Linked DNA regions of Mus musculus. The protein of the gene in region 2 interacts with the protein of the main gene of each other region in a pairwise test. Links are inferred from orthologs where the notes say so. Each region holds a gene or a part of one and is shown on either strand. Other genes may lie near its edges.

Region 1 (3,744 bases), on a different chromosome or scaffold from region 2:
CCCATTACCCCAGCACTTAAGTGGTGAAGGTAAGTGAGCCAGGAGTTTAACTCCCTTGGCTACATCGGGAGTTTGAGGTCAGCCTGGGCTTACAAACAGGACCTTGTCTCAGAAAGAGCAAAAACAAACACAAGCGACATGCTGGGTAGTGGTGGCGCATGCCTGTAATCCTAGCACTTGGGAAGCAGAGGCAGGCAGAACTCTGAGTTCCAGGCCAGCCTGGTCTACAGAGTATGTTCTAGGACAGCCAGAGCTGTCACACGGAGAAACCCTCTCTTGAAAAACCGAAACAAACAGAAAACGAACGAACAAACAAAAAAGACAAATACAAACAAATGAACAAAAAACACCAAATGTCCAGATTCACAGAAAAATTGTCATGCTGAAATCTGCTAGCCTTTGAGACCTTTAACCCAATGGTAACCATACCTACAAGGGTTGCTCTTCAATTAACTAAGGCCTCACACATCTGGAGGGATTGCTTAGTGGTGAAATGCACAGGTTTGGTTACTAGCACCCACAAGTTGGCTTACTCTGTAACTTCAATTCCAGGGGAATCTGGCACTTTTGTCTGGCCGCCAATGGCCCCAGGCCTGTACACAGTGCATGTACAAACATTCAAGCAAAACATCCATATACATAAATGAAGGTTAACCAAAAAAGATTTTAAGACTGTAAATGAAACACCCTTGATGTACAAAAGAACCACCAGGGAAATGCTTGGGTATGGAAGAATGCAAGGATTTTGTACTTTTCTCACTAAAGAGGCCTATAGGATAACCTGTTGAAGGAACCAGGCTCTTGGGGCAAAGGCCTGGACAACTAGACACATGACTTTAGGCGTAATGACTCATAAACTGGTGTCCTAACTTGGAAGGCAGGGAGGATGAAAGACCTCAGGGCTTTAGTGTGGCATTGACAATTCCAATGGACACTTTATAAGAAAATTCCAAGCATTTCTGGTGCTAAGGTCCATAGGCCCTCCTTTCGGCTCCTACAGGATTGTGTGTGTGTGCGCACAAATTATGACTCCATCAATCAAGCTATCTCGGGCAACTGGGGGCGTTGATATCTGCAAGCAATCGTTACCTAAGCAAAGGCTGACAATGGGACTGATTTCTTGGTCACAACGCCCTGTGAGAACACGCTGCAGTAAACTGCCTCTCCTAGACCAAACCCATCCATCTTAGTGAGCATGCTCAGATCTCGCTCCAGAACCCCTAAAGGATGGGCAACACTTTTGCAGCTTTCAGCCACTCTGGAAAAACAGGAGGGGCTTAAATGCAACCAAGCCAGGACCAGGAGGTGGGACTAAGCAAGGAAAAGCCTCGAACCTGGCGGTCGTGGCTGAACCGTGTGCACGCGCGCACACACTCCAAATCCCCACACTTTGGCTGCCCACAACTCACACAGCATGTAACCCTCCCCTGAACAGCAATCTACCTCTACCCTCCATGCAAACCGCTGCGGCCCTAGAGAAGGAACATCTGGCAAACTCCCGGGCCTCCTGCGCAGCGTGCAACAGGGGCGGGGAAGCTAGGCGGGGCGACTTGAAAGCAAGATGAGTGTGCTTCAGTCTGCTTAGTCCCCAACCATTTTCCGTTTTGGGTGTGTGTGTGTGTGTGTGTGTGTGTGTGTGTGTGTGTGTGTGTGTGTTTTGAGGGATTGGAGATATCAAATCCAGGACTCTTCTGAGCCTTTTCTGAGGCAATGGCTGATGTGCAGGGCATGGCCTTTTCAGATGATGTTACGGGTCCCCAGTTTCTATGCTGAAGCGCAATCCTCAGTCTGCATTCTTTACTATGCCCCCCCCCCCCCCCCCCGCACCGCAGGCTTGCTGCTTTCTCCCCCGGTCACCGCTTGCATTTGCTATGCTCCTCTGCTTTTTCGCCCCCGCCATGTTGTGAGCCCCACCTCCCAACCACAGGGGCTGCAAGCAGGGAGAACATTCTCCTTTCCTTCTGCTCCTTGCAGTGCGCGCCCTGGCGCCCAGGTCGTGGGTAAACTGAAGCATTGGTGCCGGATACTTGGTTATCCCGGAGTAGACTTTGCTGTTTCCAGGGTCACCCCTGCCCAGTTTCCAAGAGCCTTCAGGCTTGAACCTTGGCTCCCTCAACCCTCAGCTCTCACCCGAGGCCAGGGGAGCCCCAGGGCCACCTTAGCAATGCAGTGAGGCAGGTCGGGGAGAGGGGCTCTGGACTAGGGTCTGAGCCTTCGGGTCCTTGCCCGGCTATAGCTATCCGACACTCACCCTGGCGCCGAGAGAGGTCTGTCGGGCGGCTGCCGCGCGTCCATTAGCGGGTGGAGTGTCCGCTTTACTTCCGGGGCGCAGGCTCCGGGCGCCCCCCACCCCCTCGTACCCTCCCTTCTCCGTCTCCTCCTTCTGGGTCCTCTCCCTCCTTGTCCCCTCCCTCCTGATCCTGCGTTCCTCCTGCCCCGCCCCACTCCGCCCCGCCCCGCGTTGCCGGGAACTGGCATCCTCTGCCGCAGCGACCGCCCGCTCAGATCCAACTTTGCTCGGAGGTGGCGTGGCGGCGCCGGGGGGCGTGGGCAGGGAGGGAGAAAGCGGGGTCAGGAGGAGGGACCGCGAGGGGTGGGTCGCCGGTTCGCCAGCTCTCCATCCTTTCTGTGCACCTTGCGGTAGGCAGGGAGAGGCAGCCGCGGCGGCAGCAAGAGGCTAGTGCACACCCAGCTAGGGAGACTTAGGAAACCACGGACGGACGGACGAACAGACAGGACCTTCCCCAGCGCCCCCTGAGCCATGGCCGAGAGAAAGCAATCTGGAAAGGCAGCAGAGGACGAAGAGGTCCCTGCCTTTTTTAAAAACCTGGGCTCCGGCAGTCCCAAGCCGCGGCAGAAATTCTGCGGCATGTTCTGCCCTGTGGAAGGGTCCTCGGAGAACAAGACCATCGACTTCGACTCGCTTTCAGTGGGCCGGGGCTCGGGGCAAGTGGTGGCTCAGCAGCGCGATGTCGCCCACTTGGGCCCCGACCCGCACCGGCAGAGCCGGCGTGCCAGTGGGGAGCCATCTGTTGAATCGAGCCGGAAGGTGGAGATCCGGCGGGCCTCGGGCAAGGAAGCCCTGCAGAACATCTATGATCAGGTTGGTATGGGGGTGGAGGGTGGGATCGGAGCGCGGGGCTGCCCCCTGGCTTGTCGCGGAGGACCGAGCATCCCCGCGTGGCAGCCAGCACCAGCCAGCACGCGGCACCAAGAGCTCTGCCTCCCGCATCTGCACGCGCACCGCGCCCTGCCCACCCCTTCACCGCGCAGGGTGCGGCGAGGCACGGGTTCGCCAGTGGGCGTTTGAGCTCCCACAAAGGCTGCCCTAGCCTCCTTGTCCCTGGGAGGTGGGGAACCCGCGTCAGGGACCAGCTGATCCCCGGGCTGGAGGCGTCGAGTGGCGATTGGGGTGGACCACTGTGCTGTTCTTAAATCCTCCCGGGCGGCATCCGATTGCAGCTGCGGCTCAGAGCCCCACCCTTTTTTGATGCAGCTCAAAGAGAGCAGTGGAAGGCTGCAGTGAAGACTAGAGGATTCCCTTGGGGTCTGTAGGGACAAGGGCTTACATGGCTACTCAGTGTGGCAAGGTCCCCGCCTCTAGTGCGCTCAGCACCATGGTTCTGAGCTAGGAGGTCAGGACCACGGCCAGCGCCCGGAGCCTCTTACCATTGCCTGGACTGTGTTCAGCAGCCAGTGAAGAGTCCGGGAGGTTGTGATGTCACTGAGAAAAGCTAGATAGCC
Region 2 (3,744 bases):
GGAGCCCCGCCACTCTTGCGTTTCTTGGCTTTTTTGTGCTGTTTCGAGGACAGTGAGGATTCACTGTGGCTGCCTTCTGGCTCCTCCTTCTTCTGCAGCACCCCCGGTGGCAGCTCAACTTCTGACCTAGGATGGACATGGTGCTTGGCCCTGGGAGGGCTGGGGAACCCAAACCTGGGACAAGAGGCCTGAAAGAGGCAGGCTTCAGTCTTTGGTTCCTATATCTTGAGCCTAGGGCTTACCCCTGCCTGTCCACTAGAGCTAGTTAGCTGTCCATTTCTTAGACAGTGAAGCTCCAAGCCCAGTAGAGGCTCAGCATTTATGGTAGCTCAGTCTCCTTGCAAGATCTAGAAGTCCCAAATCCATACCAACCCCCCAGCCCCCAAGTTCTAGAGTTGGGAGTGAGGGGTATTGGTCAAAGACAAGAATCTCTGCCTTGAAGGAATGGGGATTTAGGAATCTCCGGGCATAAGACCCACCTTCCCAGCCCTTCCCTCCGAAAGCCCTCTCACTTTCTCTTGGGCCCATGAGCTGGTCTCACGATGGATGACGTAGGCTTGGGTCCTCTCTCCTCTCCTGCTTCCACCCCTGCATTGAGCCCTTCCTCTCCCACCTTTATTCCTTCCTCCTGGAGCTCTGGCTCTAAGCTGTGCCCCACGGGACACTTGTCTTCGCCTGGGCTCCTGCAGGTCTCATGTGCCGGCACCAGACACTCTTCTGTTCCTGGACACTAGAAGATACACATAGGTCATTGGGAGCCGATGGCCAGGCAAAGTATTGTGGGGATCAGTTATTCAAAGCCCAAAGCTGCTGCAATTGGAGTACATCTCCCTTGGTTGGGGGGGTGGTGGTGTCTCCTAACTACATATTGGCCACAAAATATGAAGGTAACCAGCTTAGGCCTCTCTACTTGTAGGGCTTGGCCTGGCAGTTAGAGGGTTGGGTTACCTAGAGTCCCACCTCTCCTGCCCTACCCCTCCATCTCCCGAGCTTTGAAATGCCCAAGTCACCTCAAGGCTCTCTGCAACCTGGGCTAACCCTACTGCTGCCCCATTCTGGGTTTCTGGCTGCCTCTTGGCCCCTTCTGAGGCCATAGGCTATGAGGAATCAGTGCATCCCTCGACAGTTGATCAGAGAAAACCTCAGGCCCAGAGCGGGGCTGGACTGGTACTCAGTGCTGGTAGGGGAGACAGGTTGAGAGGTAAGGCTCCTGTTGAGACCCGAGACTTAGAATCACTCCTCATCTGGAACTACAAACCCCAGAAGGCTGTTCGCCTTAGTCATTTGACCCCTGACCTCAGGAAGCCATTTGTTGCCAAGCAACAGCAACTCCTACCGGCTTGCAACAGTTGGCGGTAAAACTGCTCCAGTGAGAGCCCTCGCTGGGGCTTGGCGGGGGAGGGGCGGCGAACCCCTCTGGGCAGTGGGCTAGTCGCGGGGCGGTGGTACAGTCTGCGCCTAGAGACGGGCGGTCGTCGAGGGGTGGGGCTCGGTGATGGGGGCTACCGCGGGGATGCAGGGCTCGGGTGGAGGGTGGAAGCACCCGACAGGGATTAGAGGGGAAAGTTGCGCAGCGCAACAGGCCCTGGTGCACTGTTGCAGGGCTGCGGTAGGATCATGTGCGAGGGCCCGTCCCGCATCTCTGGACCCATCCCCCCAGACCCCACTCTCTGCCCGGACTACTACCGGCGGCCGGCCTCGGGTGAGTTGCGGGGTGCCTCGGCGGGGCGAGTACCCCGCCCCACCCCTGAGCACGGCTTTCCACCGCGTCTTGCTCCTCAGCCCAAGGACGCCTGGAAGGAAACGCGTTGAAGCTGGACCTGCTGACTTCAGGTCGGGACCTGGACTCCAGTCCTCCTCGTGGCCCTCGCATCAGGCCTGAAGCCCGAGAGATCCTAGAGCGTGGCCAGCGAGGCGTGGGGGACGTGCTGCTGCAACTGGGGTGCATCTCCCTCGGTTCGGGGGTCTCTCCTAAGAGTAAGTCCTTGCAGACGGGGTATTGAGGCATTCTTAGGTCAAAAGCAGAGATTAAAATAGGGTGCTTCTTAATTGCCTTGAGCCCATGCAGTTAATGTTCTTTTCTGGGTCTTAGTTTCTCTAGCATAAAAGAAGGGCAAAATACAATACCTCCTGGCAGGATCAGAGTCTATCCTTCTGCAGAAAGCCCTCGCTTCAAGCTTTCACACCTTGATGGAGCATTGTTTACTTAGTGCCTACTTTGTGCCAAACCCTGTAGCTGTTAGGAAAACGGGGTTAAAAAGTATGGGAGTCGTCCCAGGGTAGGGTAGTATCCAAGGGAGGCTTCCCCTTCTCTGAGGAGAAGAGAAAGGGGTAATGGGGGGGGGGGGATTTGGCACAGGCAGGACTGGGAGTAGAGGGGCTACAATTGGGATGTGTGAATTTAAAAAAAATTGGCGGGGGGAGTATGGGAGTCACAGTTGGAGGCAATGAACAAGACAGGCCATGTGTATAATATACACGGTGATTAATGGTATGCTAAATCATAAAATGTAGAAGATAACCAGGAGGGTGACTGTGGAAGGGAATAAGCTGATAACTGTGCTGTGGGTATGATGTCTAACTTCCATGAAGAGGCCTTGGTTGTATTTAAAAATGTGTGTGTATGTGTGTGTGAACCCAGGGCCTCTCTTCTACCAGACATCTCCCAGATTGTCTGAGAGGTCTTTCTGCCAAGGGTAGGGTGTGAATCTATATTCGATCTAGTCCGAGGTGCATGGCCATTTGGTAGGGCTGTCCCTAGCAATATTCCTCCCTGCACCCTTCCAGGGAAGAATCCAAAGGACCATGAGAAGGAAAACTTGAGGCGGATCAAAGAGATTCAGAGGCGCTTCCAAGACCAGGAACGCAGCCGGGAACAGGGTCAGCCTAAGCCACTGAAGGCACTGTGGCGCTCACCCAAGTATGACAATGTGGAGTCTCGAGTCAAGGCCAGGATGAAGGTATCTGTCCCAGGGAGGCAGACCTATCCATCTTGGCCAAGGCAATTATATCTGATCTAACTTACAGAGCATGTGTGTGCGTGCGTTCATGAGTGCGTGCGTTGGGGGAGATGGTGATCACAAAAGACTAAGACATCTGGGTGGACTTTCTCTGGGGAGCTGATGGCATCAGGTCAAGGATTAGGCTAGAGGAAGAGAACATTCCACAGAGATAAAACCCCACAGGTAGATTCTGGCATCAGAGGGAGTAGGGGCAATGGGCATAGTGGGCATAATTCAGTTTGTAAGGGGGAGAAGCAGAAGGTTTGAACAGAAAGCCAGCAGGGTACATATCTGAAAGAACTACCTAAGTTACCTAGTTACATGTGATATTGGAGATGGAATCGTGAGACACATGCACACTAGGTACTCATATAATATACCCACGACCTTCCTGCTAACTCATTCTCGGTTCCCCTATCTCTGTGTCTCTGTTTCACGCAGCCCAGGCTGACCTCAAACTCTTTGACTTTCTTTTTTGTTTTGTTTTTGTTTTGGTTTTTTTTTTTTTCGAGACAGGGTTTCTCTGTATAGCCCTGGCTGTCCTGGAACTCACTTTGTAGACCAGGCTGGCCTCAAACTCAGAAATCCGCTTGCCTCTGCCTCCCAAGTGCTGGGATTAAAGGCATGGGCCACCACGCCGGGCTACTCTTTGACTTTCTAACTCTCCTTTGTCCACCTCCTGAGCGCTGGGATTAAAAGTGTTCACTACCACACTACTTTCTCTTTTTCTTTTAATTCATTC
Region 3 (3,744 bases), on a different chromosome or scaffold from region 2:
CCACTTTGCCTTCAGGCCTCAACCTATCGGGTCCTCTCTCTAGATCAGCTCTTCCATCAGTTCCCATACATTTCCTTTTCTCTTATAACCACCAGGCTTTCCTCCCCTCCATCCATCTCTCCAGCTTTCTACTCACCTACTACTGGTCTGTCCTGATACATACTCCCATCAGTACCTCGCTGCCCCTCCCATCAGTACCATCTCCCCTCCCCTCCATCTCAGCATGCACCAACGTATGACCTATGGTCTCTTCACTTCTCTTCTTACCCCATTTCCCAACCTAGTTCAAAGCTTGTTGATCGGACACAACTTCAGCTCACTGGCTCAGCCTAGGGCTGGATAGCTGCTGCATTCCTGAAGGAGATTCCCTCTGAAGCACCATGCTGACTCCCAGGCTCATTTGTTGGCCTCTTCTTGATTAGTAGGACATAGAAATACCTTCCCATTCCCTGCTATGCTGGCTAGGATCTACATCTCTCGTTAGACCATGAGCTCCTGAAGGCTGGTTTGCCTAAGTGATAGTGTGCGTCCAAAGAAACTATGCAAGGTGAGCAGAGAGGATGCCTCAACCCATTCACCCATCTGCCCATTCCTAAGACTGACCCAACAGGGATAGCACCATCCAGCTGCCAGTCACCAGTCACCTGCTGGGGACTGCTCTGAGTCACTCCTCAGGCTGTCCTAGGGGCTTGACCTCTGACACCAGGCTCTGTAGAGGTCACACAGCAAATCAGCCCAGAACAGAGACTGGAACCTAGGGCTTCAAACCCTGTCCAAAGTTCTCCATTAGTCACATGACGAGTTCTGAGGCAGGATGGGAGGTGAGAGGGGACCCTGGGACAACTGTGGACCAACACAGTTTGCAGCTCTGACCATCAGAGTCTTAAACTGGAAGGGCTGCCCTGGCCTTTGACTGAACATTTCTGCAGGATGCTTTTTGTGGTTCTCAGACTCACGCCTTCTCACTCCCTGCAAGCCTCTTCCTGCTAACCCAGTGCTAACTTCATCTCCCCCAGCTTAGCCTGTGGGTCTTCTCCTGGAAGCTGTGGGGAATTCTTGTGGACTGTGTCCAAGCCCTGCTGACTGACTGCTGTCCCTCTCTCCCATCCACTCATTCATTCACTTATCCGTCCATTCACTCTCCGGGATGCTGCTACGGGGATGGTGCTAATGACGATACCCAGTACACAGTCAGTATTCTATAAATGGCAGCCACTGCAGGCCAACCAGATGCTCAAGGCCGAGAGAGAGAGAGAGAGAGAGAGAGAGAGAGAGAGAGAGAGAGAGAGAGAGAAGAGAGAGACAGAGAGAGAGACAGAGAGAGAGACAGAGAGAGAAAGAGAAAGTAAGTCCTTGTCCGGACTGCTTCACACTGAATTCTGCTCTTGGCCTATGTGGGTCCCTCACCTGACCTCCAGCCTATGAGAAGTTCTTACAGGCCATGGCCCCAGGCATCCCTGACTTCCCACTTCACTACTCAGGAGCCAGCACACAGAGCAGGCCACAGGAATGAACACATGTGAGACAGGAACTTGGGAGGGTCCTTGGTGCTGCTCAGGAGCCCCTCGCCCTGCGCCTGCATCTGCCACTGTGCTTGCTTTCCAGAGCCGCCCTGATTATAGTGAGCTGTGGGAAAATTAAGGGTTTGCAGGAGGCTGCCAGGCCCTGCTGCTGCCTCCCCGCCCTGCTTGTCACAGATGCCAGGCAGAGCCGTCCCCAAAGGCCACTTGCCCTACTGGGCTGCCCAGACACAGCACAGAAAAGGGGCTTCCTCCTAGAGACCTTCTCATAGCCTAGACTTGAGAGTAGCAAAGACCACTTACTCCTGGACAGTGGGGGAACTGAGGCCCAGAGAACCTAAGAGAGCATCCCATGGCCTCCAGGGGCCCAGGGTATTGGGACCTCAGGATAAGGGAATCCAGAAAGATGATGTCCCCCACATGTGCCCAGGGACTGCACTGGTGGACCAACCCTGGGCATCAGGGTTGCACACCTGCATGGCTCCTGTCTGTCTCTTGCAGCCAGCCCTTGCTCCAGGGGACCTTCCCAGCTCCCATCCTGCTCCCTCAGGAGATTCCGAGATGTCGCCCACGCAGCTCTTGCCCCAAAGGAACCTTGTTCTGATGGGGTGGGCACACACGAGGAATGAAACACCTCTAAACCAGGCAGGAAACGGAAATGCTAGGGGCAGAAATTCCCAGCCAACGTGCAGGGGCTCTGTGAGCAGGTCAGCGCCTGCAGAGTGGCCCTGCCTGCCCAGCCTCAGTTTCCTCGCCTGTCCATGGGGAGGACTGCTGGCGGCCTGCTAGGGCGGCCGGAGATGAAGGTGCCCGAGGCATGCGCGGGCCCACGCGCGGCCCACGCTCGGGAAGCGGTCCCTGGCCAGTCTCCTTCCGGCTCTGCGGCCTCTCCAGGGCCGCCCCCCGAACGGGGTGGGCTCAGCCGGGCCCCCTACACCCGCCTTCCGCAAGTCCTCAGGCCGCACGCGCAAAGCAGCCGCGGAGGCCCGGCCGCCCCGCCCCGCGCGAGGGCCCCGGGCCCCGGCGCCACCCAGGGCCGCCGCGGGCGCGCGCAGGGACCGCCCCAGCGTGGTGCCCGCCGCCCAGCCCCGCCCCGCGCCCTGCCAGCCCGGCTCTCGGGTACTCACCGCCCGGCGAAGCCGGCCCGGCCGCCGGCCACCCGTCCACATGGCCCCGGCTCTGCGCGCCCGAGCCCGCGGCCGGGGCTCCCCAGCGCCCCGCTTCCCGCAGGGAGCGCCCGCCCCCCGCCCCCGGCCCGGCTCCCCGCCAGCCCCGGCCCCGCGCAGCCGCGGCTGCTCCGGCGCTTCCCCGCGCCGCGCCGGGCAGGGCGCACGTGGTGGGCGCGGGGCGCACAGGGCGCGGAATGGCGGCGCGCGGGGTGAATGAGTCCCGCGCGCATGAATGGCGGCGGGCATGAATGGAGGAGTGTGGGGTGCAACGCCTTGTGTCCCGGGCCCTGCTTGGGGGTGGGGTACCAGCATTTAGTAGGTACCTGCTGTGTACCGGCCACTCAGGTCCCCAGGGACTGACTTGGCAGTGAGAGACAGGTCCCTGCCCTCAGGGACCTTGCAGTTTACAGACAGGACAGTGACTTCCAAGGGTGTAGTCCACTGCTCTGCCCTTCAAGTTCTGGCCGATGCCTAGCCCCCATACCTGTCATGGGTTCCTTAAACTGCAGCAGCCCCCCTATATACTTCCAAGACTGGCCTGTAAATCTCTGTCTGGGAGCTCCATAATAGTGGAGGGGCTCCTTCTTTCCAAGAAGTAATCCAAAAGGAATCATGACTTCAGGAGGGCAACTGTGACTGTGGTAGAGCATCCCTCTCTGGCCCCAGTAGCGCTCAGGACTTGTCAGGTTATTCTGGCCCTGGGTGAGACACTGGCATAGTGGTGCTGATAGTCCCAACCAAACTGGAGCACGTATGGAAGCTAACTAGCATAAGTCCCGAGAAACCAGGGTCCCCCTTCTGCCCCGGGAGCATCTTTCCAGTCTAGTAGAGTCAATCACATGGGGCCAGGAAGGATCTGGGGTGGGGGAAAAAGACAGCAGAGCCTACCTTTGGCTTCTCTCAGGGCCTGTGGGCTGAACGGTTGAGTGTTAATGGTTTCCGAGGGAGATAAGGGGATACTAGCAGCGACTACAGCACGTATGTTGACATTGTACTGTGGTAAACATACATGTCAAGAGTTAGCATTTTAATCACCTTTAAGTGTACGGTCCAGG

What was found.
Region 1: the proteins of Enkd1 (region 2) and Pnma2 interact in binary tests that used the Homo sapiens proteins (3 or more experiments, as listed by UniProt). The two-hybrid records come from large-scale screens. The link is inferred for Mus musculus from reciprocal best matches to the Homo sapiens genes ENKD1 and PNMA2.
Region 3: the proteins of Enkd1 (region 2) and Begain interact in binary tests that used the Homo sapiens proteins (3 or more experiments, as listed by UniProt). The two-hybrid records come from large-scale screens. The link is inferred for Mus musculus from reciprocal best matches to the Homo sapiens genes ENKD1 and BEGAIN.

The regions. Positions count from the first base shown.
Region 1 is NC_000080.6:66,909,801-66,913,544, reverse strand, and holds the start of Pnma2 (paraneoplastic antigen Ma2 homolog), read right to left. Parts: upstream 2,338-3,744; 5' UTR 2,252-2,337; intron 1-2,251. Other genes in the region: Dpysl2 (dihydropyrimidinase-related protein 2), read left to right, coding at 2,762-3,103.
Region 2 is NC_000074.6:105,705,782-105,709,525, reverse strand, and holds the start of Enkd1 (enkurin domain-containing protein 1), read left to right. Parts: upstream 1-1,317; 5' UTR 1,318-1,369; exon of another isoform or gene 1,370-1,602; 5' UTR 1,603-1,617; coding exon 1,618-1,702; intron 1,703-1,782; coding exon 1,783-1,977; intron 1,978-2,787; coding exon 2,788-2,960; intron 2,961-3,744. Other genes in the region: 4933405L10Rik (uncharacterized protein C16orf86 homolog), read right to left, coding at 1-126, 513-730, 1,011-1,094. UniProt on the Homo sapiens protein: Microtubule-binding protein which regulates microtubule organization and stability. Promotes the stability of astral microtubules and facilitates the proper orientation of the mitotic spindle.
Region 3 is NC_000078.6:109,065,479-109,069,222, forward strand, and holds the start of Begain (brain-enriched guanylate kinase-associated protein), read right to left. Parts: upstream 2,740-3,744; 5' UTR 2,690-2,739; coding exon 2,648-2,689; intron 1-2,647. UniProt on the Homo sapiens protein: May sustain the structure of the postsynaptic density (PSD).